Linked DNA regions of Canis lupus familiaris. The protein of the gene in region 1 interacts with the protein of each later gene in a biochemical or structural test. Links are inferred from orthologs where the notes say so. Each region holds a gene or a part of one and is shown on either strand. Other genes may lie near its edges. The genes, in order: PTPRC and CSK.

Evidence for each region.
Region 2: of the proteins of PTPRC (region 1) and CSK, one has a biochemical effect on the other in vitro, tested with the Homo sapiens proteins (2 studies listed by IntAct). The link is inferred for Canis lupus familiaris from reciprocal best matches to the Homo sapiens genes PTPRC and CSK.

What each region holds. Positions count from the first base shown.
Region 1 is NC_049228.1:3,917,934-3,933,218, forward strand, and holds the end of PTPRC (receptor-type tyrosine-protein phosphatase C), read right to left. Parts: intron 12,734-15,285; coding exon 12,643-12,733; intron 11,383-12,642; coding exon 11,249-11,382; intron 10,084-11,248; coding exon 9,949-10,083; intron 8,143-9,948; coding exon 8,020-8,142; intron 7,798-8,019; coding exon 7,622-7,797; intron 6,110-7,621; coding exon 5,974-6,109; intron 4,479-5,973; coding exon 4,200-4,478; 3' UTR 3,389-4,199; downstream 1-3,388. UniProt on the Homo sapiens protein: Protein tyrosine-protein phosphatase required for T-cell activation through the antigen receptor. Acts as a positive regulator of T-cell coactivation upon binding to DPP4.
Region 2 is NC_049251.1:38,298,508-38,314,894, reverse strand, and holds the end of CSK (tyrosine-protein kinase CSK), read right to left. Parts: intron 11,015-16,387; exon of another isoform or gene 10,380-11,014; intron 10,281-10,379; 5' UTR 10,216-10,280; coding exon 10,201-10,215; intron 9,853-10,200; coding exon 9,739-9,852; intron 9,613-9,738; coding exon 9,500-9,612; intron 9,200-9,499; coding exon 8,980-9,199; intron 8,222-8,979; coding exon 8,128-8,221; intron 7,971-8,127; coding exon 7,905-7,970; intron 7,813-7,904; coding exon 7,713-7,812; intron 7,622-7,712; coding exon 7,531-7,621; intron 7,124-7,530; coding exon 7,050-7,123; intron 6,965-7,049; coding exon 6,769-6,964; intron 6,647-6,768; coding exon 6,560-6,646; intron 6,345-6,559; coding exon 6,162-6,344; 3' UTR 5,466-6,161; downstream 1-5,465. Other genes in the region: LMAN1L (protein ERGIC-53-like), read right to left, coding at 1-153. UniProt on the Homo sapiens protein: Non-receptor tyrosine-protein kinase that plays an important role in the regulation of cell growth, differentiation, migration and immune response.

The DNA.
Region 1 (15,285 bases):
TGGTTCACATCTTGGCTCTGTCACCTGCTACATGTGTCAACACACGCTGGCTACCAAGCTCTTCTAAGCCTCAGTTCCTTGTCTATAAAATGGAGATACTAAGAGTCGGTGCTGCACAGAATTTGTCCTGATAAACAAATGCAGGCAAAACAATTAACAAAATACCAGGCGTGCATAATGCCTGGATAAACATTAGTTATAACGATGATTATTACTTTTTTATTTAAAAATAATGACACAGCATGCACACCCTTTCATTTGGGTTAGTAGTGAACAAAAAAAAAAAAGTGTTTGCTGAGAAAATGTAAAGAGAAATGTAAAGCAGTTCACAAAGGAATGGTTACAGAAAATAGACCCTTTAGCAATGTAAATCTTTTCACCTGTAATAGGAAATGAAAAAGCTCAATTCTGAAATGTGTCTCTTTGAAGACCCTTCAGATAGTTCCAGTTGTAAAATTTGTATAAGAGAATGAAAGCATAGCCTATTCTACTCATTTTAACAAATGCTCTTTTCCTTTGAAGTTGTACATTTGAAAGTCTTCATACCAAGAAACATGTTATGATTAAGCAGGAGCAATTACCACCTATTTAATTTGACCTATTATAGTGCAATGAGAACATTTTATAACAAATCTCTGGTGTCAATTAAAAATTAAGATCAATCTTAGTTAGTTAAAAGAAATAATAAACTTTGTATCCAGTGTTTTTAGGGGGAAAAGAGAAAAAAATAGATGTGAAAATTTCACTGCACATGTATTAGAGTTTTGACTAGAAGCTTATACTTCTAAATCATTGCAAAGACATTCAGGTAATCGCTACACAAAGTTTTATAATTGCAAGGGACTATTAAAATGTATAAATCTTTTCTGCAAATATTTACTTGTAACTGTAAAAAATTAATGGCTTGGGAGCTGAATTTGAAGAATAGTAAATGTATCTCCAATTAATCTTGGTACCAGAAATAAAGTAAACTCCGAAAGAAACATAGCATAGTCTCTTTTTGCCCAATAAGTACACAAGGGGACCCGCAGCTTTAACCCTAAAATGGACCAAGCTTTATTAAACTGGAGCTTTTTGCTTAATTTTTCTAACGAGGTCTTGGAATTCCTAATGGCAGTGCCAAACTTCAGAAAAAGAATCTTCTACATCTCATGATAGGTTCTCTAGGAATGCAACTGATAGTCCTAGACATAAGTCTATAACTCAGGTGTTATCTTCTTTTTAAAAATAAAAATCATAGACATATAATTCCATGTTCTAACACAAAGGGCCCCGTCTTCTGATAGTCTCACAGAGTAATAGGCCTTCTGACCCCTTCCTCTAGCTCTTCCTTTACCACAACTTCTCATTGAAAAAAGAAAAAAAATGAAGTTTCCAACTTGCTTCTTAAACTAACAGAAACTACCAGGGCTCTATTTTTCTAAGTATTTACTCTGTATCTCAAAGGAATAGACTCAAGTAAAAAATACACATGGAAAACACACAACATCCACATTTGGAAGATGCCACTTGCAGCTGGGATCTCAGAGGAAAACTTTACTTGTACACTATTTAAAATTCAGAACTTTTGCTGGTTGTATTTTGAAGCAGCTCGCAGATAAAATAGACACTAGTCTGCCACATATAAAACTGTATTTTTTAACATTATCTAGTAAATGGCAACTGATCTTGTTTCAGTTGGAGAAACCAAGGCATAAAAGTTTGAGTGACTAACGAGAGAAGTGAAAGCAAGCTTTATTTCTTCGTGGTCCCCTTAATGGGTGACTCTAGGCTCCCCTTTCACATTAATAAGTAAGGCAATAGTAAGTCAACCCAATATAAATTAAAAATTACCCTTTCGTTCTAAAATTCACTTCTTTTCTTATGTGAACAGGGTACTGTCCAATAATGTAAGAATTAATTGCTAACTTCCCATGTCTAATAAAAGAATTAGAAAGATGAATAAGATAAATTGAGTTGAATGGAAAGTAATTGATGATGTATAGTTAAGACATTTAAAATCACTCAGGAGTGTGAAGATATAGAAAACCAACCTAACCTAAATGTAGCGTGTGACTAATGTCATAAGCTGATGCAGAATTCACCAGAAACAGCGTTGTTCATTACTTTTTTGAAAAAAAAAATGACATTTTTCTTAAATTTTGTATGATCCTAAACAATTAATTAGATTATGGATCTTTTAAAATGAAAATTGAGACTTGTGACAGGGGCACCTGGGTGGCTCGGTCCTCTTGATTTCGGCTCATGGTCATGATCTCAATCGTGGGGATCCAGCCGCCTGTCAGCCTTGACACTCAGTGGGGGGTCTGCTTGAGATTCTCTCTCTCCCTGCCTCTGCCCCACCCGTCCCCCATGCATGGGGTGCACTCTCTCTCAAAAATTTTTTTTAAATGGAGATCTGTGAAATGTCCCACAAATGTTCATTGCATTATGCCTACAACTTAATATGCACTTATATAATTCATATAGGAACATGTAACACAATACATGATGTATAAGAAAAGATAATGATTCAATTTCATTATGATTATTGGTGTCAATTTCTGGTAAAAGCAGTCTAAGAATATTTTTTAAGATTTAATTTAAATTCTAGTTAATTAACATACAGTATTTATTTGTTTCAGGTGTAACAATACAGTGATTCACTTCCATACGTCACCTAGTGCTCATCGCAACAAGTGCCCTCCTTAACCCCCATCCCTTATTTCACCCATCCCCCACCCACCTCCCTACTGGTAACCAGCAGTGTGTTCTCTATAGTTGAGTCTGTTTCTTGGTTGGCCTGTCTTTCACTCTCTTTTTTTTCCCTTTGCTTGTTTGTTTTATTTCTAAAATTCCACATGTGGTATCTGTCTTTCTCTGACTGATTTCCCTTAGCATAATATTCTCTAGCTCTATGCATGTTGTTGCAAATAGCAAGATTTCAGTCTTTTTTTTTTTTTTTTTTTTGGCTGAGTAGTATTCCATTGTGTATATATACCACATCTTCTTTATCCGTTCACCAAGCTACGGCCCTTGGGCTTTTTCCAGAATTCAGCTATTGCAGTTTAAACATTTGAGAAATTCAATGCCAATGCATTTCTGTTGTGATGAGCACTGGATGATGTATGGAATTGTTGAATCACTACATTGTACACCTGAAACTGATATAACACTGTATATCAACTATCCTGGAATTAAAATCAAATGGATAAAAAACAAAGTAAAGGCACTTGAGTGAAAGTTAAGGATGGATTTTAACATGAAAAGTATGCATGTGCAATATTGCATTTCTCATATCAGTGTTGTATTCCATAAAAATAGCTAGATCATGTTTCAAATGTAAATATTTCACACAAGTATGTTGACATAATTCTATTTTCGCCTATGAATATTAATATATATGGTATTTGTTTAAAGATGTTTATTTAAATTCAGCTGCAACAAACATAATTCTTGGTCAAAAGTATCAAGCAATGAATTTCACATATTATACAGAAGATAACCCAGGCTGCAAAATTATAAACACCGTGTGAATCTAACAAGATAAGCTTGCTTGAAAATTTTAAATTAGATTAAATGAGCTTGAAAGATACGGACTAAACGTTAACATATGGAATATAAGATTTCCAAATGTTAATTTTGTTAACTTTCTTGTAGTAACCACACACACACATACTACATTTATGTCTATTTCTAGAAGTAAACTAGTAAACTATAAGATATATATGAGTAGAACAAGGAGGACATCTTGAGGTCATTCTAGAAATGTACATTTTATCCTTAGAGGCCACACACAATTTATGATTTAAAAAGTAGGTCCTGTAAACTAACTTAATATGTTCTGTATAAAATGTATTTTTTCTTCAAAAAAAAGGGCAAGGTTTCTCAAAAGCATTTAAATTCACTTAAAAGCAACCCCTTTCTCTCTTTCTGTTGCTGTCTCTGTCTCTCACACACACACAGACACACACACCCAAAGACTACAAAGAAGTTATTTTTTTGCTAAGTGATAGGTAAAATTTTAAAATATGCATAAAACTGTACAAAGTTTTTAGCAAAATTGTCTTAAATATGTTTCTACAGTAGTAAAATAGAAGCTTCTCACATATTGGTCCAATGTACTGCATTAATCCACTGTATATCTATTTTGTCCTCCTACTCCTAAAAAAACAGAAATAACACCTAATACAATGCTTGAGTCCTGTATATGTCTTTTCCTATGCATTTTGAGTTAAACCTGGACTCGCAGGACCATTGGCAGAATGTTCTGGCTCCTCAGGGCTACTTGTGACTTTAGTACCTTCATCTTCTTTGTTTCCTTCATTGGTCTTATCAGGAGCACCAGGAGAACTAACACAATTAGCATCCTGCTTTGCTTTGTCCACCAATTCGTTAGCAAATTCAACTTTATCATCTTGATTGTTGCTTTTCTTTATTTGTCCATTCTGGGCAGGATAGGTGTTAGCAATGACATCATAGAGGAATTGGTATTGCTCCTGGTAAAAAGAAAGAAGCAAGAAAGCGTATGTAATTATGATAAAGAAAGTGTATGTGATGATTTTTTATGTCAAGTGAAAAGCAGCAAGAACTAGTCGTTGACTTGAAAGTCTTGGATAACAGGAACTACTCTATGTTGTTATCAAAAGAGCATTTTAAATGGCTTAGTCCCCTTACAGTTCTAAAGGTCCTACTGCGGGGTAGTCCTCAAAGTTTGCTGTGGAGCAACATCAAGCATGTTCATACCCCTCACGCACCACCACGTGGTGTCTCCTTTCCATGGCCCACGAGGCCACTTTTTGTGCTTATCTTCTTGGTTAAGGCCAATGCATCCTTCATCTAAGTATCGTAGCAGAAGTCACTTGCTTCTGGAAGCCAATCTGGGTAGCCACAGATTAAATTTGGTGCTGTCATTCAGGCTCCTCGCATAATCTCTCTGTCATTTCGATTACTACATTGTTTAGTAAATCTTTGCCTTTTCCTCACACTAAACAGTGAGTCTCTTAATGGCAAATGCACATAACAGGCACTCAGTGCACTTTTAAAATCAATTATATGCCAGCTCAAGGTCCTGCCCGATTACATGCTGCAGAGATCTGAGTGACTGGTTAGGTTGATATGGTGACTAGTTATGCCTTTCCAGACTACCCTCTACAGATGATCCATGTTAGCTTGACTACAAAAATGCCACGCTCATTATCCTCTGTATCCACACCTGTTTGCAGTGTGGCTTTGCAGACCCTTTCAAGGAGAGGTGGAGCCAACTTTCCCATTCCTTGAATCTGAGCTGGCCTTGTGACTTGTTTAGATAAGGAAAATGCAGAGGAAGGCAGGTTGGGCCAGTTCCAAGCCTGTACCTCAAGAATTCTCACACACCGCTGCCTACTTCTTGGAACTCGGTTGCCTTTATATGAATATACCTAGGCCAGTCTTCTGGAGAAGGAAAGACCTGGTGTCTACCCACCTCCGTTGCCGGAGCTAAAAGCTAGCAGCCACCATCTGTTGGTAGTAGGGATCATTTTGGACAAGCCAAACCCTAGCAGACACATCAGCCGCCGCAAAACTATGAGCAAGCCTGGTCCAAACTGGCTGAAGTTGATATTGGCAGAATTATTCAGTTGCTCCAATAGACTATTGAACTATAATAATTTATTTTCTGTCCCTAATTCTGGGGTGGTTTGTTACATAGCAATACACATTAATACAGGAGTGAAGATGGAGGAAATTAGGGAATTCATGGACGTTTGAAGAAACGTTCTCCGTGGATTGCCACAACAAGTTGCTGGCAGGCTCTAATTAGTTCTTTTATTTATATTAATAATGACTTCATGTGACTTATGTAGAAAAGGAAGATAGAAAAGAAGACTAGAAAGGTGGATGGAAGGGAAGAAAAAGAAGTAGAGGACTGGAGAAGAGGAAGAGGAAGGAAAGAGAGAAGAAGCCATCAAAATAAGAATGCAAAACACTTCAAAAGCAACTGTGAGGTCTACTTACAAACGTGGGAACCATTCCTGGTCTAGCTCTGCGGAGAGATTTTACTACTTGAAAAACATCTATTACTTCTTCTGTTTCTGCGCTTTCCAAGAGATTTAACAAAGCACAAAATAGTCCTGTTTGCTGAGATCCATCTCTATAAAAGGAAGAAAAGTTTTAAAAGGAAAAAAATCCTACATTTTATGGAGAAAGTCATATGAGAATAAAAACTGAAAGAGATGGAATGCATTCTTCACTTCGTGTTCTCTTAAGAGCAACACATTTCTGCTAAAAGCATTATTTGGACAAACCTTTTCAGTTTGAGACTATAATAATCCTATAGTTTTTAAAAAAATACTTGTCTCAGGCTTTAAAAATATTTTGTTTTCTTCTGTTTAGTACCTTATGGGTTATAATGCATTTTAATTTACATCTGGAGTTGTAAGGAAGTTGCTAGGACAAGTGCCAGAATGCCAATTTGACAGATGAGGACGTCAAGATTTAGGGAAGATAAAGACATGCCTAGAAATCAATAAAACCAGAAATACTAGACCCAATATTTTGTATATTGCTAGATCGCCTGCTTTTTCTCCTTTCTTCTGCCTCTCTCATGTGTTTTCACAAATGTCCAGATTTCTGCGTCAATAGAAAAATGATACGTAGTAGAATTATTCATTAAAAAGAGGACAATTCAATGATTTACTTAACTGTAGGTAAGTACGTTATAATAAAGATTCAATGTAGAGAATATGTTATTAGCAGGATTTTATTTATGGCACGTAAATTTAGTTAAAGGACATAAAATAGGCTTTCAGCCATATCCTAGGAAACACATATAGTTTTAAAGCTTAACCTTGCCTTCTTTAGCTTTCTTTCTGCATAAATTTTCACCTTTGAAAATGCTGATAAAGGCTGAAAAATAGTGTATCTCTAAGGACTTGATAATAGTGTATGCAATTCTAATAATAGTAATAATAATAACAAAGCTTTCTCAAAAATTCTAAAAGCATCTTGCTAAATTTACATTTCTCATTTTACTTTATATTTTTCATTTTGCACTTACTTTAATATGTTTTATGTAAACATTTTATATTATGCATCCGTCTTTCAATATCTCTTATTTAAGGTAGATATGTAGGCATCTCTCACAGAGGAAAGTTAAGAGCCTACAGAGCAGAAACTAATAAGGTCAAAAATTATACGTATTATTAAAGTCTTTTGGGTGAATACATAACTTAAGAAATGTTTACCGAAGGAAAGCATTCATTCCTCTGGATTCTGTTAGTACCTAACAGAGTGGATCAATGCACATAAGCATAAATAAAATGTGGGATCCATCCATCTGTTCACGCATCCTACCATTCATTCATTAATTCACCCAGGACACATGACATTCCAGATTCAATGTTAGGCACTGGGAGTCAAACATGAGGTGACGCTGGCATTAAGAAACTTATAAACTAACACTAAAACTGTAGCATAATCACCGCTCTCATATTTCTATATAGTTAAGCTGTGGGAGTGAAACAGAGAGAGTGACGCCACAGGAGGCTTTCACTGTGGTCATGCATTTTATAGGTCAGGATAAAGAGAATTTAACAGGAAGTGTAAACCATGAAGTCAAGCATTGTGATGATTTTTAGAGAATATCTTATCAAATCCCACCCACCTGCAGTGAATGAGGAGAGGCACATTCTTGTGATGCTTATTCCCTTCAGTGGAATTCTTGGGAGATTTTTCTTTGAGAGCCTGAATCATAGAGATTAGTTCTTTGGGTTCTGCAGGAAGCTCATCCACATTCCAGTTATTATATTGGTACTGGTACACAGTCCGAGAATCTTTCCTCTAAAACCAGAAAAGAAGGGAATGTGAATTCAAGTCAGGTTCAGTCCATTTAATAATTTGATAGTCACACTTTGGCCACAATTACTTTCTTTTAACTCCTCTTAAAGTTTGATTCTGAAAACAGGTGGATTTTCCTTTGCTTTTAGAGAGTAATTTACATTTGTTTCTCTAGAAGATCAATTCCCAGATCAAAAATAGGTATTCCTGAAATGATTTACATACCTTGGAATGTCTCAGTTCAAATACACGGAGGGTATAAGCTGAAGATTTGTTGGTCTCTTTCATATCAACTTGTACATCTCCATATGTTTGCTTTCCTTCTCCCCAGTACTGAGCACAGGCTTCCTAAGAAAGAATAAGATTCAAGATTCAACAACTTCCACACAAGTGTTCTGTTTGCTTTTAAGGTATACAGTGCACCTCTTACTGTCTCTGTCTCTCTCCCCTCTCTCTTTCCCTCTATTTTATTAAGTGGAAATGACTAACTGTCTTCTAAAATGGAAAGCTGGCCATAAAACTCTAAATCTACCTTACGTATGTGGGGCGTCCACTCCACAGTACCTGGTGTTTCCTTGTGCAAATCAAGGGAACTGAGGAATAACCAAAGTGGCCAGGACACCACAGAGATGGCTCTGTCACCACTGGTGTAGGTCTTTGAGATTTGATTCTTCCTTCCATACCCTTATTTTCACCTCTTTGAGATTTATAGATTGAGCTGGTGTTGATCGTGACCACTGCAATCACAAGTGTCACTGCCCCTCCAGTGGTCCTTGAGAAAGCATCTTTGGGAGTTTTGTCTCTGTACCTTGAGGACCATCACCCTGAGCAGCTTTATATGAGTTGACTGTGTACCTAAGTAAAGGGTCAGACTGAAGAGCAAGTGAATTACAAAAATGTGTTCTCTCTCTGCAAATGGTCCTACACCAACTACAGTCTCACAACCGCTGACAGCAACAAGTGTTCCTGCCTAAACCAGCATTTGGTACCTGGCTTTCACAATTTAGATGAAAGAAAAGATCACTAGGATTCCATGCCGGAAATCTGAACATGTTATTTCTTTTTTAAAAAGGAAAAAGAGGGATCCCTGGGTGGCGCAGCGGTTTAGCGCCTGCCTTTGGCCCAGGGCGTGATCCTGGAGACCCGGGATCGAGTCACACGTCGGGCTCCCGGTGCATGGAGCCTGCTTCTCCCTCTGCCTATGTCTCTGCCTCTCTCTCTCTCTCTCTCTGTGACTATCATAAATAAAAAAATAAAATAAAATTTAAATAAAAAGGAAAAAGAAAAAAAAAAGAAAAGAAAAGAGAAAGAAAACCTAAAATAAAACAGGTCCTATGTTCAGGGGTAGGGAATTAAAGAAAAGAAAGAAGGTGAAGGCATGTTTATGAGAGTATTCATTAAATAGGATTTAACATATGCCACATAATGTGCCACAACTATGGAGCGTCTACTACCAATGAGATTTTGATAACTCAAGGTATTAAGGAAAAGATCAAATACACAGCTCAGACATTAAGCAGATCAAATGAGATCTTAGGTTCACCTCCAACTTCATAATTATAAATATTATATGAACATAAAGAAGGCATTTTGTAGATAAATTTTTCAGGAGTTCTATTTAGCTAGAAGAAAAGGATCAAAATGGGAATAGAGGACACATTTAGACATATGGAATGCCACTAAATTAAGTCTCAGTGATGAAAATGAAATGGTGTCAAGATTCAGTCAGGAAATCTGCTTCTCCAGAATAGAAATTATGGAAAACATTAAAAAAATGAAGAAAATGGAATGATATATGAGGGTCTGGTTATTGAAGATCTTAAATATCACACTGAGGAGTTTGGTTTTCATTTGAAGAAAATAGAAGGAAAATGTGTCTGTTGCTTGTTTGTAGCAAGCAGTGATGCTGGGCTTGCTGTGCACTAGACGATCCACAGACGGAGTGTAGGACCAGAGAAAGGAGGGCAGGAGAACCCAGACATGAGATGCCAACTGCCAACACTTGGATGGAAGATGGGAAGAATGAACAAAGGCAACTTTGTGACAGAAGGGTCAAAAATCCTAGGGTAGAGCAATCAAGCAAGTCATCCGAGAATAGAGAATGATATTTTATGACAGAAAGACAAAAAAAAAAATATTCTTAAAGACACAAACCTGGTCTCCATCCTTCAGCTGTGTCAGCATAACAATGACTTTGACTTTTCTTTGGAATATCATCTGCCAAAAGTCACCAATGGTCTCTTTTAGGGGTCCCTGAGCAGCAATCATCACTTCAGGTTTCCAGTAACTCTTTAAAAAGAGAGGGAGAAAAAGATTCTTTTACTCTCGCTCACTGATGAGAGAGCAATGGATTCTTAAAATAACCATTTGAAAATATCGTCACTTAATTTGATATCAATGTTGTTACATAAAAACCCTAAGATCCTTAGGCCCAAGAAACAGTATGATGTCTATATTTATTTAATTAATATCTTATTTCATTAATGATAATACTTAGCTAATAATATGAAGTCAAGTTTAGAACATCTTAACAAAACAAGTTTTTTTTTCCAAAAAGAACTAAAAAAAGTAAATGTGGTTGTAAAAAAAATACATAATTATTTGATCCTCATCATGTATCTAGTTGATGTCTACACAGTCTTATGATAACTTTATTTATTTATTTATTTATTTATTTATTTATTTATTTATTTATTTGTTTTGATAACTTAGATATAAACTAATATTCTATAAGTGTGTTTTAGAAAAATTTGGAAAATAAATCCAACTTGGTATATATGCAAAAAGTATTTTTCCTTGTTAGAATTCTATTTACTAAAAAAAGAAAAAAGGTTATGTGACACAGACTCATCTAATAATTTAGATAATCTGAATGAAATTTTTTAGCTATGCAAATATGCAAATTCTTACTTGCCTACAATTTGTGTATCTGAGTAAGTATAAACATTTTCAAATACTTGTATTTTCTCAAATTGTATTATTTTTCAAATTCGTATGAAGAGTCCTATTGGTCCATCAATTGTAACTAATAAGCATTGTCTTATTTCATATCAACACATTAAGTTTTAATATCTTTAAGTCTTTCAGTAAGTTAAAATATAGTATTAAAAATTGAGGGACACCTGAGTGGCTCAGTGGTTGAGTATCTACCTTCAGCTCAGGTCATGATCCCAGGTCCTGGGATTGAGTCCCACATCGGGCTCCCTGTGAGGAGCCTGCCTCTCCCTCTGCCTCTGTCTCTGCCTCTCTCTCTTTCTGTGTCTCTCATGAATAAATAAATTAAAATAAAATTGAAACTTTTGTATCAATCAATATATAGTTATGGCCAAGCTCATCATTCTTTTAGAAAATCACTTAATGAATGGCCATAAAAATATAGATTTTTTTTACAATGTATTTCAAAATACATTTTTTAAAGGGTTAGATCTTGGGCTTTGGAAATTTAAGTACCTACCATAACAAAAGACGCATTGATGTATCTACTTGTTTCCTCTGAGTCACTGTCATCATCAGAAGATTCATCTGAATCATGCTCACTCTCTTTGCTCATCTCCAGTTCATGTTTTAGTGGCACTCTGTTAAAGTCATCTATGTAAGATAAATTAGTAGTAAGTCTTTCTTTAAAAAAATTCAAATCTCTGCTTGATTGTCATGTGAAATTAAAGAAGTGACAGATTGCATTATGCAAATGTACTGATGTACATGAAATGAGACCCTACATAAAATTCAGTTCATATTGATAAACAAATTATAAAAAAGAAATCTAAGAAAAAGAAGCTTTCAAAAAAGTTCCTAGAAAAAAAATGGGATAAAACACCATGTTAAACAACAAATAGATATCATAATATTCCATATGATCACTCAATCTTTGACATACCTACTTTCATTTTCCATGAAATATCATCATTCTGCTAGATATGTTTAAAAATACATATATAAAATTTTAAAAATACATAGCTTAGGTAAAAAATCTAATTTCTCTATTATATCCCACTAACAGCAAATTAACAACCTTAGTTAAAACGGTATCTCAGTTGATTTATTATTTGATCAAAAAAATTATTTAGTCCATAATTTCTCACTGTTTTTCTATTTCTTTAGTCTATAATATCCTGATCAAGTGATCTGATTAGCTACATCACCATCAATTCCAGATTTTGAACGCATATTTATAAGGACTTCAGAAATTAACTAGGTCAACCAATCTTTAATATGATGTATTTGGTTGTCTAGTTGATTAGCTTGGGTTATATTTTCTCCATGCTAATTTTAGTTTATGCAAATGAATAAAATTAAAGTTGTACCAGATATAGTCCTGTAATATTCTTAGGTAACAGAATTCAAGTATTGAAATTGTACTTTTGTTGATCTACTAAACTTGATGATTAACAGTTTGCAGGGTACTTTTTATCTACGGTTAATCTCCCAGATAGGAGGAAGGGATAAAAAGAAAACAGAAAGGAAAAAAAGGAAGTAATGTTTGCTATTGGCAATTCCCCTGAAGCAAATACCTGAAATTAGCTAAAGATGAGAGAGAACTAGTAAAGAAGACTTGGCCTTTTCCCTCTCAGCTTCAGAGGTTATGTCTTTCTGACAGCCCATTTCTAAAATAACTGGTAGAAGGAAAATACTGGATTCAGTTTATCCTCCAAAGTCTATTGTAAAGGTTTGGGGTGCAAAGTGTTTGCTATAATTAAATTTAAATAGACAGTTATTTTTTACTGTCAACCCAATGTTGAAAACTTGCTTCAAAATCATTTGTGTGTGCACATCTTACATTAAACAAACCTGAAAAAGAGTTTAATTTTATCTGATACCAAAAAAAATAACATAAAATACTCTACATACATGGAATGATGTAAGAATTCCTGTTTTTGCTTTTATTTTGTTCTTGATTTCCAACATGCTGTGTCCTCCAGCTCCTATATGAAGGAAGTCTCTGAGAGTGAGAAAATAGAATGGAACACCATTGTTAAGATGTGAGTAGTGGTTTTGTTTATTACTATGGCCAAAGATGTTCCCTAAAGAAAAGTATGTCATTAAGGTTTGTGAAATTTGTATGCATTCCTTATAGTTCATAATTTTTAAGTTTGCCTCTGAATTTTTCCTTTTATTTTTTTTCAGGCATTTAATATTTTTGAATTGGCAAGTTTGGACTCAATGCATCCAATTTTATAACAAAATAGGTTTCCTACTTAAGAGCTGCTGGAGAACAAAACAGTATGGTTTGTTCTTGTACAAGTTGAAGCACTGTACAGATGGTGATGATTATCCATATTGCAGCGGTACATCATTGTAAATGATGAGTAATAAACTCTCCAGATACAGAAGGCTTGTCTCATGCTTCCAATAATTGATACTTCATTGGTTTATGCCTTCCCTACTGCTTTCCCTCCCATTTACAGTAGCTAATCAGTCAGCAAGACTTCTCATTTCTGCTGGTGAGGTTCTCAGATCCTCTGGCTTTTCCCTCTACTTGGTACGTCCCACGTTCATTTCTCACTTGACAACATCAACAGTTTCTTAACTGGCCTCTTGATCTTCAATCTCACCTGCTCTAATCCTAACTCTGGGAAACAAACTAAGGGTGGTGGAAGGGGAGGTGGGCGGGGGGTCGGGGTGACTGTACAGGCACTGAGGTGGACACTTGACGGGATGAGCCTTGGGTGTTATTCTATATGTTGGCAAATTGAACACAATAAAAAATAAATTTCTAAAAATAAAAAAAAAAAACAAAAACAAAAAACAAACAGAGTCCCACAGAGGCTCCTCAGCAGTCTTTACGGGTGCATTCTTGATGGTCAGGCCAGCCTCACCCTTTGATGGTCCCCTTCCACCTCAGCCACACGACCTCCTCAACTCTGGGAAGAGGCTGAGTTGTCCGTTCACTCCGTGTGTCCTGTGCCCACCCTTTTCCCTTATTGTCGCTCTGCTAACATCTACTTGCCTTTGAGCTATCAGCGTGAATGTCATTTCCTCTGGACGATCTCTCTGCCTACAGCCCTGTCTTCCCATTAGTCCTTAAATAAATATTTGTCATGCGGATGAATAATCTAAACCAAAAGACTGCATCATATATAGTTTAGTAGGATTTTATACACGCACAAACATACGTGCATATGGATGTATGTGTGGTCTATATATGTATCTTTTAACATGGTGCGCTCTTTCAAACTAATCATGGCATCCTGTTTCAAACCCCATGCATTGCTGTGTCACCGAGTGAATGAAGACCTCATCATGGAATACCAGGCCACTTGAACTCACCCCAATGAACTGCATGAAGGCTGACTGCCTTGGAAGGCATCACACTTTTTGCTTGTCAAAATGGTCACCCAGTGGCCCCTGTCCTCCCACCAATACCCAGTATTATAGATAAAGCCAAAGGCTTACCTTCATTTAAGACACAAATGGTTTTTCACACCTCAGTCCCTGCAACAAGTCTCAGCCCCAATGCATTGTATTTGCTAGAGCTCTATTACTGAATAATTACCTAGATGGTCCTCCTCAAATGCAACTCAGTCTCTTACATCTCACCAGTCTCTGGTACTCAGGGTCTGTCAGCAGCAAACTGCTATCCATCTTAATGCTTATCTCCCAACAGGTCCCTTCACCTATTATTTCTTGGGGGAGGGGGAGGAGGAAGAGGAAGAGGAAGGGTGGGAATGGGGGCCTGCACACCAGGTAAAACCTGAGTGTCCCTTGGGAGCACCACCAAAAATGCAACAGTAGCTCTTTTTAAAAAACACTGAATTCCCCACTTATATCCCATATATATCACATCCAATGTGCTGTTTCTACATGTAAACCGTTTCTATTCATTTCTCCTTCAAAAAGCCCAACTGCTTTGATTTTTCCCAACATCATGCCACATTCCTTTGGCTTTTCTTAGAGGCTTCGGGTACGGATTACTGGATCACTCCACTTCACTTAGTTTTAGATTTGCCTAATTTGTCTCCCCAGATCTGTCTGTCATCATTCTTGGTTACTTCAACATTGACAAGGATGATCTATGCAACTTTCTGGTCCATTCTTAGCTTCTTTACCTCTTATCATCACCTTTCCCTCCACTCTTCTGCCATTCATGTTTCTCCATCTAGCTTTGTAAGAATCATTTCAAACATTCATTTAAAAATTACAATTTCAACCATCTGATTATTGAAAATTACCTCTTTTCTCCCTACTCCTTTATTCTAGTATCTTCAGCCTCTCAAGGTGGGATTCTATTAAAACCTTCCACATACTGGCCTTACTACTTTCCTTATGGACCCCATGCCCTTCTCTGGCCAGTTTTCTCTGTATCATCCACCACTGTATCATTCATGTGCAAACACCCTCTATTTGTCTGTCTCCAACTTTCAGTCACTTTAAGAAATTCTAGATGAGTTTAACTCAACTATCTGTATACACAGCCCCTATTTTCAATGTTTCTGTAGAAAACAATAAAACCAACGGACTCTCTTTAAATTCATGACCATACATTTCAAATGA
Region 2 (16,387 bases), on another chromosome or scaffold:
AGCCCCGGGCGCCGCCAGCCTTGGTCCTTTGAAGCTGAGCTTATACTCAAACCTCCTCTGAAGAGAACTGGCCCCCTCAGGGCCGGGGGCGCCCAGGAGCAGGAGGAGGGCGAGGGCGAGGCGGAGCAGGGGCTCCCCGCTGGCCACCAGCATTGCAGCCGCAGGGGGAGGCCAGGGCGGGCGCCAGGGCTGCCGGGCGGGGAGGAGCTGCTGTCGCCGTCCTCTCCCTGTCCCCACAGAGGCCGGTTCCCCGGGGCGACCTCCTCGCCAGCCTGACCCCGACCTCTCGCGCACCTCGGGCCATCACCCGCCGTCCCTCGGGCGGCCTCTCCCCTGGCTCAGGATGGGCCCCGCCCCGCCTCCTGCCCGCAGATCAATGTCCCGGGCCACCCCCGTCCCGCCTTCTCTGTCCCAGGCGCTCCTCCCGCGTCCCCGGACACTCAGGCCTCCGAGCGCCTGTTTCCTCAACACAGAAGTTTCCTGCAGAGAAAGGGGGTCTCAACAGCAAATGAACGCCACGTGTGGCCTTGTCTGGAGCCTCGTTTTAACTAACCGACTGGGGGGAAACGAGACTATTGGGGGAAATCTGAACAATGAATACTTGATTTAAATAAGGAATTGCTGTTAAAGATTTTAAGAGTAATAATGGTACTGTGGTCACATTATTTTTTTAAAAAGTGTTGTCTTGGGGTGCCTGGGGGGCTCAGCCGTTGAGCATCTGCCTTGGGCTCAGGGCCTGATCCTGGAGACCCAGGATCGAGTCCCGCGTCGGGCTCCGTGCATGGAGCCTGCTTCTCCCTCTGCCTGTGCCTCTGCCTCTCTCTCTCTCTCTCTCTGTCTTTCATGAATGAATAAATAAAATCTTTTTAAAAAATGTGTTTTGTCTTTTAGAGAAATGTAGGAAAGCTCTACCAATAAATTGATCAAATGCTTAGGATCTGCTTCCAAGTGTCCGGGAGCTCAGAGCTCAGAGGTGGGGGTGCTGGGCACAGGATTAGTCTGGAACTGCTGTTCACGCTGGATGGTGAGGATGTGGGTGTTTGTGACTTCTCTCTCCTGCATATGGTTATAGGATTATTTCCATTCTACAAACGTTTTAAAAAAAGAAATCCTATATTTCAAATATTTTCACTCAAATGCTCATTTTCCAGAGTGGCTCACTTGCCAAGAATCTGGCTAGCTGAAGTTTTACTGTACTTTCTAAGTTCCCAATGGGATTAAGTTACCGAAACCCTACAAATTAATTAAAATCAAGGCTGTAAATGGAAAAGCTTAGGACACGCTAAAAGGAAACCTTCATTTCTCAACAGTAAGTGCTCAGCCACCTGCACCCCGCTGTCCCCACCTCCACGGCCACGCTGTGCAACAGCAGGCCCCAGTGTGGCCCTGCTCCCTCACCTGCCACTCAGTTCTCACTCCTGCCCCTACTGCCCCATCACAACCGCTCCAGGGGCGCCTGGGTGGCTCAGTTGGTTAAGCGTCTGCCTTCGGCTCAGGTCACGATCCCAGAATCCTGGGATCCAACCCCAGATGGGGCTCCCTGCTCTGCGGGGAGTCTGCTTCTCCCTCTCCCTCTGCCCCTCCCCCCACTCATGCTTTCTCTCTCAAATAAATAAATAAAATCTTAAAAAAAAAAAAAAAAGGAAAGGAAACCACTCTGGGAGGGCCTGACAATGACCCCTGTCCTTTGCTTCCAGGGGACACTTGTCAACCGGTCTCTGCAGGGTGGACTGCCATGAGCATCCACTTCCTCGCCCCCTCCCCTACACTCTGAGAAGCCTTCTGGCTCCCCTGCAGGGCCCCCCTCATCCCCGCCCCTGCCGGCCTCCTCTGTGCGCCTTTGCCACCCACTGCCCTCCCTCCCGGCACCTCTGGGGTTCCTTGTGCTGGGGCCTGTCCTCGCTTTCCCTGAGTTCCCTGGCCAAGTTCACCCAAGCCCACGGCTTCCAGCACCATTGCGGTGCTCATGATCCCCAAAACTCTACTGTTAATGGGCTATGGGCCTGAATGTCTAACTCTGTGGTGACATCTCTACTTGGAGGTCCCCAGAGAACACGTCCACCTCAAACTGCTGTTGTCCAACGTCTGGCCTGCCCTTGTCAAGGCTAGGGGCTCGTGAATGGCAACCCCCACCCCTGCCCTGTCAAACCGGAGCAAGCTCTTCAATTTGCTCTCGCTACTCATAGGCCACCTTACCTGATCCTCTAACCTCCAAGCCTGTTTATCTGTAGGATGAGGTACTCACAGCACGTATCTTCAAGAGCTGACTGGGGGGTACGTGAGATGACACATCTCGTGTGTTGACAATAGGGCGTGGCACGTAGTGAGCACTCAGCTCAGTAAAGTGTCAGCTGTGCTCACCTTCCTCTGCACCTCCGATGGCCTCCGCAGCCCAGGCCACCGGCAGTCACCTCCTGGCTGGCCGCCTGCAGCCTCCCCACTGTCTCTCTGTCTCCACTCTGGACACTCCCACCCCCAGGGCCAGATTGTAACCAGAATTATTCTCAAATGCAGATCTGACCACATGGCTCCTTGGTCCTAAACCCTTCAATTGCTCCTGGTCATTTGTAGCAAGTTAAACCCGTGGGATCTGCAGAGCCAGGTGGGGTCTGGGCCCTGCTTCCTCTCCAGCCTTGCTTGCTCCCAAAAGACCCCCACTGGCACCTGGGGCCCAGCCACACTTCAGGACCTCATCAGGCTGTGGCATCTCAGCACTTTGCCCAGGCAGTGCCCTTCCTTTGCCAGAAACGCCTCATTCTCTGTCCCTGTCCGAACTCCAGGTGTCTGAGAGGCCACCTAGCGTCTCCTGCCCCCTCCACTTCACCAGATTTCTGGGCACCAAGTTGAGATTGAGTGGGCTCTCTATGAGGGTGACATGCTCGTCTCCGCTAGGCCAGCGGCCAGCACAGGAACAAAACAGCCATAAGTCAAGTGAGAGACTGGAAGGAAGAACAGGGCGGACTCACATGTCAGCAGGTGGAAGGACTGGGAGCATCCAGCTCTCTGGGCCTGCATGCCCTGGCCCCAGCCCTTCTCTCCGGATCCCGTGGCCACGCACCAGTGCAGGTGTCTGAACCCGAGCCAGTTCTCAAAACTCCCCGGCCACCTGTGCCTTCAGCGAAGTCAGGTTGGTGGCTTGACACTGGCCATGGCGCGTACACCGTGGACGCCACAAGCTCCAGATCTGAGCCCCCTCCACGCCTCGGGGTCTGTTCCCAGCGACGGCGCGGCCCGCGGTTCCCTCCGAGTGCGGGCTCCATCGCGGCACACCTCGCGCTTGGCGGGTGTCCAGCCACCCCTCCTGCTCTAAGGAAGCCTCCCCCTTGGGTCACTACCATTCCCGCCTCTACCTTTTCCGCCCCCTCAGCGCGTGGATGCAGCCTGAAGGCAAACGTCCCTCCCTTTGGCATCAGATTTGCTCCCCCTCTGCTGCCTTCAAATCCCGTCACCCTCTCCTCTTCTTACAGCTGAATCTCCCAAGCCGGGGACCTTCCCGCAGGGCTCACCCCCCTCCCCCCAGCCAGGCCTAGAATCTGCACCCCCACGAACTCCGGTTTCGCTAGAGGCCCAGCGGCCTCCTAGCTGACGCCAGTGGCAGGCTCTGCTCTTCTGGGAAGAAGGGACCTGCCGGCTTGTCCCCTGCCTCTGCCACAGGGCGGTCTGCTACCTCCCTCTCCATACCCTGCCTGGCCAGCCTCCTCTCCTTGACCTTTGAATGTCAAGAACTCCCCCAGGCATGGTCCCGGGCTCCTTCTGCACGTCCTCCCAAAGTGACCTCCTCCCTGGACGTGGCTTCAGATCCAAGCCGCACTCTGACCTCTCCGATTCCCTGCTCCAGCCTCTGGGCTCCAACAACTTGCTCAAGGCCTCTTGGCAGTCAAAGGCACACCTAAAACTCACCATGCCCTTACTAGAACTCCGGGTGCCTTCTCCTGGACAGGAGCCTCCTGGTGGCCGCCCCCTTACCCCGGCCACTCTGCCCGCCCTGCACCTGCAGGAGGACTCCGCTGGCAAGTCCCCTGGGCTTCATCTCACATCCCTCTGGAGGTCGTCCCCTCCCGGCCCCTTCTCTTACACTCATCAGCCCCCCTCTGCTGCCTGGGGGGACTCCTCCACCAGCAGCCACAGTGTTTGTATCAACACCTTCCTGTTCAGAGCCTGTCACTGGCTCCCCGTGGCTTTCAGTGTGACAAAGGCCAACCTTTGCTCTGGCCTCCCCCCTCTGCCTCAAGGCTCGCCTGCCCTCTCTCCAGTCCAGGCTTCTCTTCCTGGAATGCTGCGGCCCACTCCTCACACCTCCTGGTCATCCTCATCTAGCTTGCCGTGCTGCCTCTTACGGGAAGTCCTCCCTGACCCACAGACAAGATCCGATCCCGTTACACATGGTTTTTGCCGTAGCACTTAGCAGCTTGTAGTCGTCGGTGTGATGGCCTCCCTAACTCCACGGCTCTGTCTTGCTCGTTGCCGAGCCCCAGTCCTAGCACAAAGCAGGTTTTCACATGTCTGTCGTTGAATGAACCAAGGGTCTGGCCTTGGAGAAATGAGCCTGTCATTGGCAGGGGAGGTGAGGAAGCTGCTGCTCCGGGCTGGAAGGCAGACGCTGGCGGCCGGGCTGCCGGGGGCTGAGACACAGGCACGAGACACACGGCCAAGTCCGAACCCCCTGGATTTCAGGTCCTGCTAGCTGGGCCGGGGTCAGCGTCGCCCCCGGACAAGGGAAACCACCCCCCACCCAGCGAGGTGCCCATCTCAATGATGAAAGGAGCCTCCCCCAATCTTTACAGCTTCTGCACTGACCACCACACCCAGGCAACCTGAGGGAGGGGGGACCATGCCCTGGTGGGTCCTCATCCTCTATCTGGGGCCCCCGAGGCAGAGTGGGGAAGGCCCCCCACCTTCATCCTCAGGCACGCGGCTGGGCACACGTGGGACAGGCCAGCGCCGTGTCATCTTGGGTCAACAGTGAGAACCACCAGTGGCTCAGAGGCTCCCCCTCCCTCACCCTCTGGGGTCAGCACTTTCTCTGAGGCAGGTGACATTTATCTTGCCTCCAACCAGGGGGACCCCGCTTCCACCTGGTCAGGCCTGGGCGCCTCCCCCATCCTTGGTGCCAGGCATCCTCGTGCTGTCGCCTTGAACCACACGGCGGGGGAGGCAGCTGGGACCCCCAGACGTTACCCTGTGCACAGGGTCCCGAGCTCGGGACGGCCCCAGGGCCAAGCCCCCGCCACAGCAGGATGGTGGGGGAGGGCGGGGGGTGAGGGCTCCCCCCACGGCAGACACAGGACACTCGCTCGTGCAGCTGACACAAAGCGCGGCTACATCTCCCGGCCGTGCTCCCCGCCCGACTCCACTCCCAGGGCAAGCACAGCCCCACTCACAGAGACAGGGGGATGGACAAGATGGCACAGGGACAGGGGGCCGGGGGGCCAGGCAGGCTCGGCGGAGGAAGCGCCGAGGCCGGCAGCGGTGTCCTCATGGAGTGGTTTATTACGGTTCCATCTCACAAGGCAGGTGGGTGGGCGGCAGCGGCACATGAATGAACTCCAAGCCCCTGACAGACGTCTGCCTCGGGCGCATGCAAACAGTGCAACATGGGCAAGCGCAAACACGGGCGACCGAGGCGACACGGGACACGGAACACGGAACGGGGAACGAGGCTGGGCTGACGGGTCCCTAGAGAGGGGCCTGCTCTCCCCAACCCTTACGGGCAGGACAGGAAAAATAAGATTCGTACTTCTTGTAAAATGCCCATTTGCTGGGTACTTTCTTTCTCCTTATCTTGAAAAATAATAAAAAATAAACACACGGGAAAAAAATCTCAAAAAAAGGAAAGGAATAAAACTCTAAGAAGGCGAGAGATGGGAGGCCAGGAGAAGCCTGACTGCGGCGGGGGGCATCTGCCTCACGCTCCTCAGCCTCCTCCCTCCTTGGCCCTTCGGTGGGGCTCCCGACACCCCGCGGGTGGGTCCATGAGAAGAGGTGCCAGGCCTAGGCGGGGTCTCTGCGGGGCCAGAGGGGGCGCAGGCTGGGGCAGAGGAAGGAGGCCCACTGGCCCGCTGGGCTCAGTTCAGGCTGGGGCCCAGCCAGTGGGGGCACCAGGCCCACAATCGCTCCAGGTTCAGTCCCGCAGCCCCACGACCTGGGGTAGGAGGCAGCGGTCACAGGTGCAACTCGTGGGTTTTGATGTGCTCGAGCTGCTCCCGGAGCTGCAGGAAGGAGGGCCTTGTGGCAGCATCCAGGTGCCAGCAGTTCTTCATGACCTCGTAGACCGCAGGTGGGCAGCCGTCGGGGGCGTCCATCTTGTAGCCCTTCTCCACCCGAGGGACGACGTCCTTCAGGGGCTGTGGCAGGCGGGTGGTGTGAGTGTGCAGGGCCGACCCCCCGGGGGACCCCGACTCAGCTCCGGGGATCCCCCTCAGACCTGGGCCTCAGAGCCAGCAGGCCCCGAAGGTCCCGAGGGCAGGCCTGCAGCTCAGAACACCGAGCAGGGCCCAGGAGGCTCCCTAGCCCCCTCCCCGCCCCGCCCAGCCCTGCCCAGGCCCGGCGCCCAACTTACAATTCTTGGGTAAGGCACTCGCCCAAAGGAGTAGATTTCCCAGAGAAGGATTCCGAAACTCCACACGTCAGACTTGGTGGAGAATTTCTGCCACGTGGATGGGAGAAGCAGGGTCAGACCCTGGGGATTCGGGATTTGGCGGAGGCGGGGGAGGGGAGCCCAGGCCCCCCACCCAGCAGCCCCCGGGCTCAGGGTTAGGCCCCCTCCACCTTCTCTCTCAGGGCCTCCGGGGCCGTCCACTTGACTGGCAGCTTGCCCGTGTCCTGGGTGCTGGAGGCCTCCTTGGTGAGGCCAAAGTCGCTGACCTTGGCCACGTTGTCTTCAGACACCAGCACGTTGCGGGCAGCCAGATCCCGGTGCACGAAGTTGTTGCCCTCCAGGTATTCCATGGCCTCACAGACATCTCTGGGAGAGAGCCAGCCACACAGCCCCTCAGACAGGGCACCCACGGCACGGCAGGGCCCCCCCGAATGGGTGCTGCTTCACTCACAGTGAGAACTTGAGGAGACAGTCTCCGCCCAGCACCGATCGACCCCTCGACCGCAGATAGTCCACCAGGCTTCCCTAAAGCAGGACAGACAGACCGACTGGCCCCACGGGTCAGACTTGCCCCCCCCCATCCTCTCGAACCATGGGCTGGGTAAATACTTGAGGGGAACCCGCAGGGGAGGGCTCGGGGCATCACCGTGGAACGAGCAGTAGGTGCTGCAAGCTGGCCCCCGCGCCCCGGCAGTTCCCTGAGCTCGGAGCTCACAAATCTCTAAGGCAAACCCTGGCACTACCTCCATCCCACAGGGGAGGAAACTGAGGCCTGGTGAGGTCACAGGGAATGAAGGAGGAGTCAGGACAAAAGCTGAGCCCTGCCTGGTGACTACAAAGCTCAGCGGGGAGAGGGGCGCGGTGAGGGGCCCGGCGGGGAAGGCTGGAGTGTTCAGCCCAGGGCGGGGGCGGCTCTCCGGGCAGGGGCGCACCTTGGCCATGTACTCCGTGACAATGTACAGCCCGCCCTTCTCTTCCACGATCACACCCAGAAGCTGTACCAGGTTGCTATGCCGAAGTTGCCTGGGGCAGGATGGGGGTGGTCAGCGCTGCCAGGCCCCCCCATCCTTCCCCGCCCGGGGACACCTCCACACCCACTCGCAGCCCGACTCACGTCATCACAGAGGCTTCAGCCAGAAAGGCCTGGGCAGTGGCGTCATTTTTAATGCACTTGACAGCAACCTTGTTCCCTCGGTAATCGCCTAGCATCACGTCTGCGGGGCGAGGGCTGGAGGTTGTTCCCTGGACCCTCCACCAGCCCTCGGCCCTCCCGGCCCTCCCGCGGCCGCCACCCGCTCCCGCTCACCTCCAAACTCCCCCTTCCCAATGGTCTGCAGCAGCTTCAGGTCCTTCATGTTCAGTGCCCAGCCGCCTGGCGGGGGAGGGGGTGTCAGTGAGGGGTGGAGCCAGAGCAGGCGTCACAGTGTGTGGCGACCCGGGGAGGGCTCCTCCAGGGCTGGGGGCGGTGCCCGGAGCCCGAGGGAGGAGGCGGGGAAGCAGGTGAGCACGGGGGCGGGGATGGCACTCACTGCGGAAGAACTCATCCTGGGCGGCCACCGTGCCCTCCATGACCTTTGGCTTGATGAGGCGAGTACAGAGTCCGTCCGCGTCCGAGGTGTAGTGCTGCGGGGGGCAGGGCGGGGGCAGGGCGGGGGCTCAGGGCCAGCGCCGCGCCCGCCGCCTACGCGCACTGCCCGGCTCCAACCACCAGAGGGCGGCCGAGGCGAGCCCACCGGCCGGAGCTCCCCGGGTCCCCCCAGGGAAGGATTAGGGAGGTCCCGACTCAGATCTGTGACCCTCACTTCCACTGGGGCCACGGGCCTCACCAGCATCCCGAGGCGGAAGGCGAGCCCTGGCCTCTGGCCAGACGCGAGGAGGCCTCCCCCCAGCCAGGGGCTAGCAGGGGCAAGGAGCTGAGAACGAGCGCAGGAGGCGTCTGGGAGGCCGCTGGGGCTCCGGGAAGCCAGGTGTGGCCTCAACAGGACCAGCAGAACTGGCCTTGGGAGTTGCAGGGACATGTGGCCACAGCCACGCAGGGTTGTGACCTGACCACCAAGGTGCAGCTCATGAGGGCAGGCTTATGTGCGCGGCTTGACATGTGGCTCTGAGGCCTGGAGGGAGGCCTAGTTCTGGGGCGAGACTCCGACTCTGGCCCTGGCGTCTCTAACTGACAGCTGTGTGACCTGAGGCAGGTCCCGAAACCGCTCTGAGCCTCTCTGTCCCCCACCTGTGGTGGGTGCGTGGGGCCAGAAGTCAACCCTGGCACGCAGCAGGTGCTTCGCCAAGGCGAGGGGCGTGAGGAAACGCAGGCTCCGGAGGCGGCACGTGCCAAGGCCAGCCAGCAGTGGGGGGACACTGGGCCGGAAGCCGGGCCCGCTCACCTCCACCAGCTGCATGAGGTTCTCGAAGTACACCTCCTCGTCGATGCTGAGCTTGCTGGCGTGGTACATGATGCGGTAGTGCTCCACCTTGCCGTCACAGCTCACGCACAGCGTGTAGTCCCCCGGGTAGTTGGTGCTCTCCCGCACCAGGAACAGGCCGGTCTCGGGCGGGCACAGCAGCCGCTCGGCCTGCTCCCGCGTGATCTTGCCATGGAACCAGCTGCGGGGAGGCCGGGCCAGGGCTCGTGGCGGCTCCAGGCACGGACCCCGGCCACCCGGGCCCGCTGTCTGAGGCCCTCCCTCTGCGCCACCTCCCCATGGCCCCCACACGCTCCTCCTGCTTCGGGCCTCCCAGGCCCCGGGACCTAGCACCCGCGCCTCGCCCTCCGCCTGAGAAGCCTTCACGCGCTGCAACCCCTACGCCCGCTCGCTGCTTTCCTGACTCCTCTAGGGAACCAGGGCTTCTTGTCCTCCCTCCTCCCCACGCTGCAGACCCCGAGCGCTCCTTAGCAGTACTCACGGCATGAGGCTGAGCTTGGTGCCGGCCTTCACGCCCTCCCGTTTCTGGACGTAGTTGGCTGGGATGATGCCCTCACGGCCCACCTTGTTCTTGGCTTTGTACCAGTTTGGGTCCTGGGGAGAGGGCAGCCCAGACACACGCTCAGCCCTCCTTTGGCCCCCCTGCAGGGGAGCCCCCACCCAGCTAGAATGCCCAGAGGCGGGAGGGCATAGGTGTGGCCTTGTGAGGTCCCCGATTACCTTGGTGACCGCCACAATGGTGAGCACGTCTCCTTTGCAGAAGGGAAGGTCCTGCTCGGCAGTGCCATGGAAATTGTACTTGGCAATACATTCTGTACCGGATGGCCAGGCGGCCTGTAGGGCAGGCGACAGGTGGGCAGGTGGAGGGAGCCCGGGGCCCATCTCCACCCACTGCCCATCCGCCCTTCAGGACACAGACTCTCGTTGCTCTTTGTAAACCTCCTGCCCCGAGAACTCTGGGTGCCTTCCAGCTGAGATCCCCCCCACTGCCCCCAGGTCCGTACGCCCACCTTGAGGGCCCTGGGTCCAACAGTACAACACCCTAGAATTTTCCTTTGTCGAAGGCCAGGGTGGGGCCAAGGGGAGCAGACTGACGTGAGGCCTCGTTCTCTCTCCTCCACTGAGCACCCTTCCAGGGGTGGGGGGAGTACTCAACTGCCCCAACCCCCGCCCCCACGGTACCTGGATTGCTGACATCTTCTCAGAAGATCTGGCGTCCTCCTGTCACAGGAAGGCCACCCCGTCACTTGGTACCATGAGAGCTGCAGGGAGAAAGGGAAGACCGAGGAGGGGTGTGAGAAGCTGGCTCCTCCCAGTCACTGAGCCCCCCATTCCTTCCCCACAGCAATGTGAACACGTACCGAAGGCCCCTAGAGCTGGGACTCTTGGCAGCCTGAGAGCGCCGGATAGGGGGAGGCAGGGGCATGAAGGCTGAGGGCCCCCAGGGACGGAGGGGTCACCAATCCTAAGCCCATGGGGGCCTCACAGCCCCACCAAATGGCCAACAGAGGCAAAAGAAGCTCTGGGGGTGAGAAGCCCCAGGCCCAGAGGTCAGTCACGTGGTCTGTGGAGGAAGGGAGCCCAGGGCGGCTCTGTGAGCCTAGGAAAGGTGCAACGTAACTTGGGAAAGTCACCTGTTCCTCCGTGGGCCTCCTAGTCCCACAGCCTATAAAAAGGTGCCCAGGCAACATGTCTAAAGACAAAGGTACACCAACCTCGTGGCCCGGTCGCCCCACTTCTAGGTACACACCCAAGAGAACACAGGGCAGGTGTCAGCCCAGATGTGCACAAGAGCAACGGTGCGGCAGGATCTGTACCTCACGCTGGGAGCCGCCCCGATACCCATCAAGGGTAAGATGGCTAAGCTGTGGTGTCTTCCAGAGCGGTACATGCTGCGCAGCAGCAAACACGAGTAGACCGAATAATGAAACCACGATGATGAATTTCTGAAACAGTATCAACCCGAAAGCCCGACAGAGAGCACAGGCTGGGTAATCCCACGTAGACCGTATAAAATTCAAAATCTGGCTGAGCCCACGGTGCGGGACGGCAGCTGCCCTCGGAGGGGTAGAGCCACTGGAAGAGCGGAGTTCTCCTGGCCGCACCTCACGGAGCTGTACCCTTACGCCTGGGGCACTCTGTGGTTTCCTTCGGTGCAGGTGACCCCTCCAGAAAACCTCCAGCTGACCCACGCTCCAAGGGCGGCAAGCCACACAGACTCTGTGGCCCCAGCCTGGCACCCCCTTGACCGCCGCTGCCTTCCTGAAGCCCAGAGCCCCCCGAGCCCCCATCTCAGGAAGCAGTGGGGCTGGAGCCACTGTTCTCTGTTTCCAGGGGATAGAGGCTCAGACAGGCCAGTGACTCGTCCCTGCGTGTTAGGAGAGAAACCCCAGGAGTCCTGTTCCCAGATGCATTTGACAGGAAGGACAAGGTCTAGGGCCAGGCTGGGCAGTGGGAGGAGACGCTTGAGTGCATGTGCCTGGCCTGTGAGCTGAACAAGGACCGCAGGGCCGAGGCCCGTTTCTCGGAGCGGGGAGCCCCAGGGCCACACTCTGAAGAACAGAGAGCTTGGGGACAGAAGGCAAGCTGGAAAAGGTTCCACCGGGTGGGGTGCAGGCCGAGCCAGAAGGGCAGGTCGACAGGGACAGCCGAGAGGAAGGGGCCCGGCCGCGAGCCCCGGGAGGGCGGTGGGACACAGCCCGGCCATCTGAGCACCCTACCCGGCTGCTGTCGGGACAGTCCGGAGGTGCCCGCCCAGCACCAACCCTGCAGCTCAGCGGGGGCTTCAGACAAGGAACCGGGGCCTCAGCAGTGAAGTGCGCGGCTGAGGGCAGCAACGGCCGGGACAACCACCACTCCCGGCCTCACTCCGGCTTCCAGTCAGGCGGACCTGGCTCCGTCGAGTGTGCAACTCGGAAGAATGACTCAACCGTTCTGAGCCTCGGCTCCTCACCCTGCCAGGCGGGGACAGGCGTGCCCTGCATGCAGGCTGCGAGGGAGTAGGAGACCTCGGGCCTGAGAAGGTCTGGCGCGGGGCTGGGCATAGCCGCCCCCTTCCTCCGGACAGAAAGGCCTCCCTCCTCCGGCACGCGGGGCTTCGCGTCCCGAGGCCAACCTGCCGCCGTCTGCTGTCGGCACAGGAGCCCGGGGCCCACGAGGCCGAGCAGAGACATCGCCCCCACCGAACACACGGTCGCACGGCTGAGCTGCTGAGCCGGGGACAGGAACCGCCCGCCGGGCTCTCGTGGCCCACAAACCGTGGTGAGCCGCGAGCTGCTCTTGCCCCCGTTCCACAGGAGCGGAAACTGAGGCTCACGAGGCCGAACAACTTGTGTGAAGTCACACAGCTCGTTAGGGGTGACGGCCCAGAACCCAAATGAGGGTTCCACTGGGGCTGGCGGGGGCCCTGACCCTCAGGCCCTTCTGAACAGAGGCCCTGCCAGCTTTCCACACCCTCGGCCGGCCTCCCCTCCCTCCCCAGCTTGCCACCACTGGGCCACCACAGAGGGCATGGTGGCTGTGGCCCCGTTAGTCACCCTCCCCAAACACTCCCTTCCTGGCCTGCAGCTGCTGCCGCCGCCTCCCCACTGACATGACAATAATAATAAAAATAATAATAGGCCGTTTTCTGAGCACTTGTTCTGTGCCAGGCCCCGTCCTTGGCACGTAATGGCTCATCTCATCCTCTAACAACTGAGCCTGTTACTCCCCCCATATTGTAGACGAGGACCCTGAGCGAGGTCAAGAGGCAAAGTGGTCTTGCCAAGAGGCAAGGGGGCTTACACCTCCCGGGAGCACCCTGCCACGCTCGGGCCTCGACTGCCCAGCCCCGGCACCATGGGGCGCCCAGAGGACGGGCAAGCGCCACTGGAGAGGCCAGGGTGGGCTAGCTCAAGGGGCCAGGCTCCGACAACCAGACATCTGGAAGGCAGGGGAAGGAGCTGAGCCCTCCCTTGGTCTATTGCCTAAAACTTCAGGACCTGGTTTCTCCACCTGTACAATGGGTTGGCGGTACCTCCACAGCAGCCAGGGCTGCTCTGCACGCAGCTGCCAGGCGCCTCGACCCGCCCCTGCCCAGGAATGCTGCAGGGCAGGCCGTGGGCTCTTGCACAGCTCCTCCCTGCTGGCGTCAAGCCCAGGCGGGCTCAGAGGTCTCCCTCCCGAGGGTCCTGAGGGGCCAGGGGCCAGCTCCCTCCAGGTTGGACACAAAGAGCCAGGATGGCTGGGAGGGGCCCCTGTGAACCTAGGGCTCTGGTCTGGACCCCTGGCACACAGGGGTCCCTTTGGAGTCACATGAACCTACTTTTAGGCCACTCTGTGGAGGCTGCTGGGACGCTGTCCTGGGAGTCAGGGGCTCTGAGTCCTATTCCTGGCTCTGCCACCAACTTGCTGCGTGTGACCTTGGGAAAGTCATTTGACTTTTCTGGGACCTGCTGGCTCTCTGGCACCTCAGACGGACCTGTGTCCCACCTGCTGTTCCCACCTCGCCTGGCATTCCCTCTCCACTCCCTCCCTCTTCTCTACCCAAGGAACTTCCTCTCAACCTCCGGGTCACAACTGAGGCATTGCTTCTGTTTCACGTGTGCCTACAAAGTCCCTGTGGTATTGTCTATGGTGGCAAGCGACTGGGAAGCGATCTTTATGTCCATCAGTGAGGGACCAGGCAAATAAACAGCCGGGTATCCCTAAGAGGGAACAACAGTCCCTGCGGTGACGGGGCCCCGACCTTCAGGTGCTGACACACAGCACCCGTATGATGCAGCAAGCCGGAAGGGCAAAAAGCCAGCTCAAGTCGCTCAAGGAAAAGCTGCTGGGGGGAACGAGACAGTGACATGGCTTCCAAAGACTACCCCACAGGTGAATCAGAAAGCAGAAAAGCATCTACACAACAGGTGGACCTGGCAGATAGACCTATCGATCTATCTCGTTAACCACGCGACCGAATCAAGCATCACCCACGATGAGAGCAACGACAGAGCGTCTCCCACCGGGACGCCCGGAGGAGGGCACAGCATCCCGGGGGTAGGATTCCCACGGAGCCCGTTAACCTGACTCAAATCAGGAAGATGCAATCAGGCACAGCCTCGACAACTGGCCCGGACTCTCGAAGTTAATGTCGTAAGAGACAAAACCAAGGAACATGCAGAGGCTGGGGAATGTTCTCGAATAAACAGGACGCTAGAGGCATGTGACACAACAACAAAATGGTATTTCTGTGAGGTGAAGGAGGTGTCAACTAACCTTACCGTGGTAACTATTTAGCAACACACGTACATCAAATCACCACGCTGTACACCTTAAACTTACACAACCTTATATGGCAATTACATCTCCATAAAGCTGGGGGAAAAAAGGTGAAAGGAACAGGACAACAAGATTCAGTGAGAGATCCTGAACTGGATTCTGGCTCAGAGGGAAAAAGACAGTAGCTATAAAAATCATTGGATGACAGTTGGAAAAATGGAAATGTAAGGTAATATTATGGAATTTTAATGTCAATTTTCCTAAGGACGATCCTGGTGCTGTGATTACGTAAGAGGTGCACGCTCAAGTACTTAGAAATGAAGATGTAGGATGCCTGCAACTAACAAACACACCAGCAAAAAACTCCACAAATACGCATCTCGGTATATGAAAGAGGGAAACCAAATATGGCAAAATGTTAAGACCTGGTGAATCTGGGTAAGGGATGGTTGGGTATTTGTTACATTATTATTTCAGTTTCTTATTATTTTTATTACCTTTAAAGATTTTATTTATTTCAGAGAGAGAGAGAGCGTGCATGCACATGAGTACAGTGGGGGTACGGGGAGGGACAGAGTGCAGGGCCAGAAGCCGGGCTTGATCTCACAACCCCAAGACCACAACCTAAGTGGAAATCAGGAGTCAGACGCTCGACCAACTGCGTCACTCAGGCACCCCATTATTATTATTTTTTAAAAGTAATCTCTACATCAAGCGTGGAGCTCAAACTCATGATCCTGAGATCAAGAGTCACATACGCGGGACGCCTGGGTGGCTCAGCAGTTGAGCGCCTACCTTCAGCCCAGGGCGTGATCCTGGAGTCCCGGGATCGAGTCCCATGTCGGGCTCCCTGCATGGAGCCTGCTTCTCTAGAGCCTGTGTCTCTGCCTCTCTCTCTCTGTGTCTCTCATGAATAAATAAATAACATCTTTAAAAAAAAAAAAAAAAGTCACATATTCCATGCACTGAGTGGGCCAGGTGCCCTATTTCAGCTTTTTAGTAGGTTTGAAATACTCCAAGTGAAAGGCCGTGAGAAAAGACAAGGTGAGGGACCTGATCCATGGTACGTGACACACAAGGCATCCCTAACTCCAATCCACGCAGATCATCCCTGAAAGACAGAAGAAACTGGCAACACGAGTTGTCTCTGGGACTGGGGGGGGGGGTGTCAAGTTTAAGGGAAGATTACTTTCCACTGTGAGTTTGCTATTTTGTCCTTTCTGACTTCTTTTTTTTAAACCACATGTATCTATTACTAACTTCCCCCTAAAAATAAGGTTGAAAATAAATCACTTTTGAAAACCGCCTCTGCCAGGAGCCTCCCTTGGTTCCCCGGCCGTGCTCCAAGGCCTCCCCAGCCTCTCACACATCCCCAGGCTCCAGAGACAAGCTCCCTGCTCGTGGCCTGGGAGCTGGGGGGGGGGGGGGGGGGGGGGGGCTGGGAGCTGACTCATGTGCCCAGCATGGGCTGAGCCCAGAGTGGCTGCTCGGTGAGTGAGTGCTGAATGAATGAATGAACCAACAAAGGAGAGGAGGAAGCCAGGCCGGCTGCGCCACACCAAGGTCCCCTAACTGACAGGACTATATTTAACCCCAAAGGGACAGCAGCTGTCAGCACACCCGCCAAGGACCAGGGGGCAGGGGGCTTTGGAACTCTGTGAAGTCAGCGCTTCACTCTGATTTCCTGCCCCAAACCCGACTCCCAGCAGTCCTTGTGCTGGGGTCCCAGGAACAGGCTGGGCATTGTGCCCAAGCACTGAGGTCAGTGGCTGCAGCCTCAGGCAGGCCTTTCTTGGTAGCCCAGGCTGGCAGGGAGTCGGGGAAGCAAGGAGAACTGGGAGCCCCCAAACTCCCAGGCCACCCTCTCCCTGCCCACGGGGCAGCAGCAGACCCCCACAGCTATCACGTGCTGAAGGCCAGGGCAGGTCAAGAGGCTCCTGCCCTGCCCCCCTCACCAAAACTCCACTGCTTACTGGGGCGTGGGAGCCTTCAATAACTGTTTACACCCAGCTAAAAATACCCACTGAAAAGGGAAGTGCACAAGAGACCTGGGGGAACTCGGGGCCACGGCCCCCAGAGACTTTGGTTCTGCCACAGGACCCAGCTGGAGCGTGTTGGGGGCAGG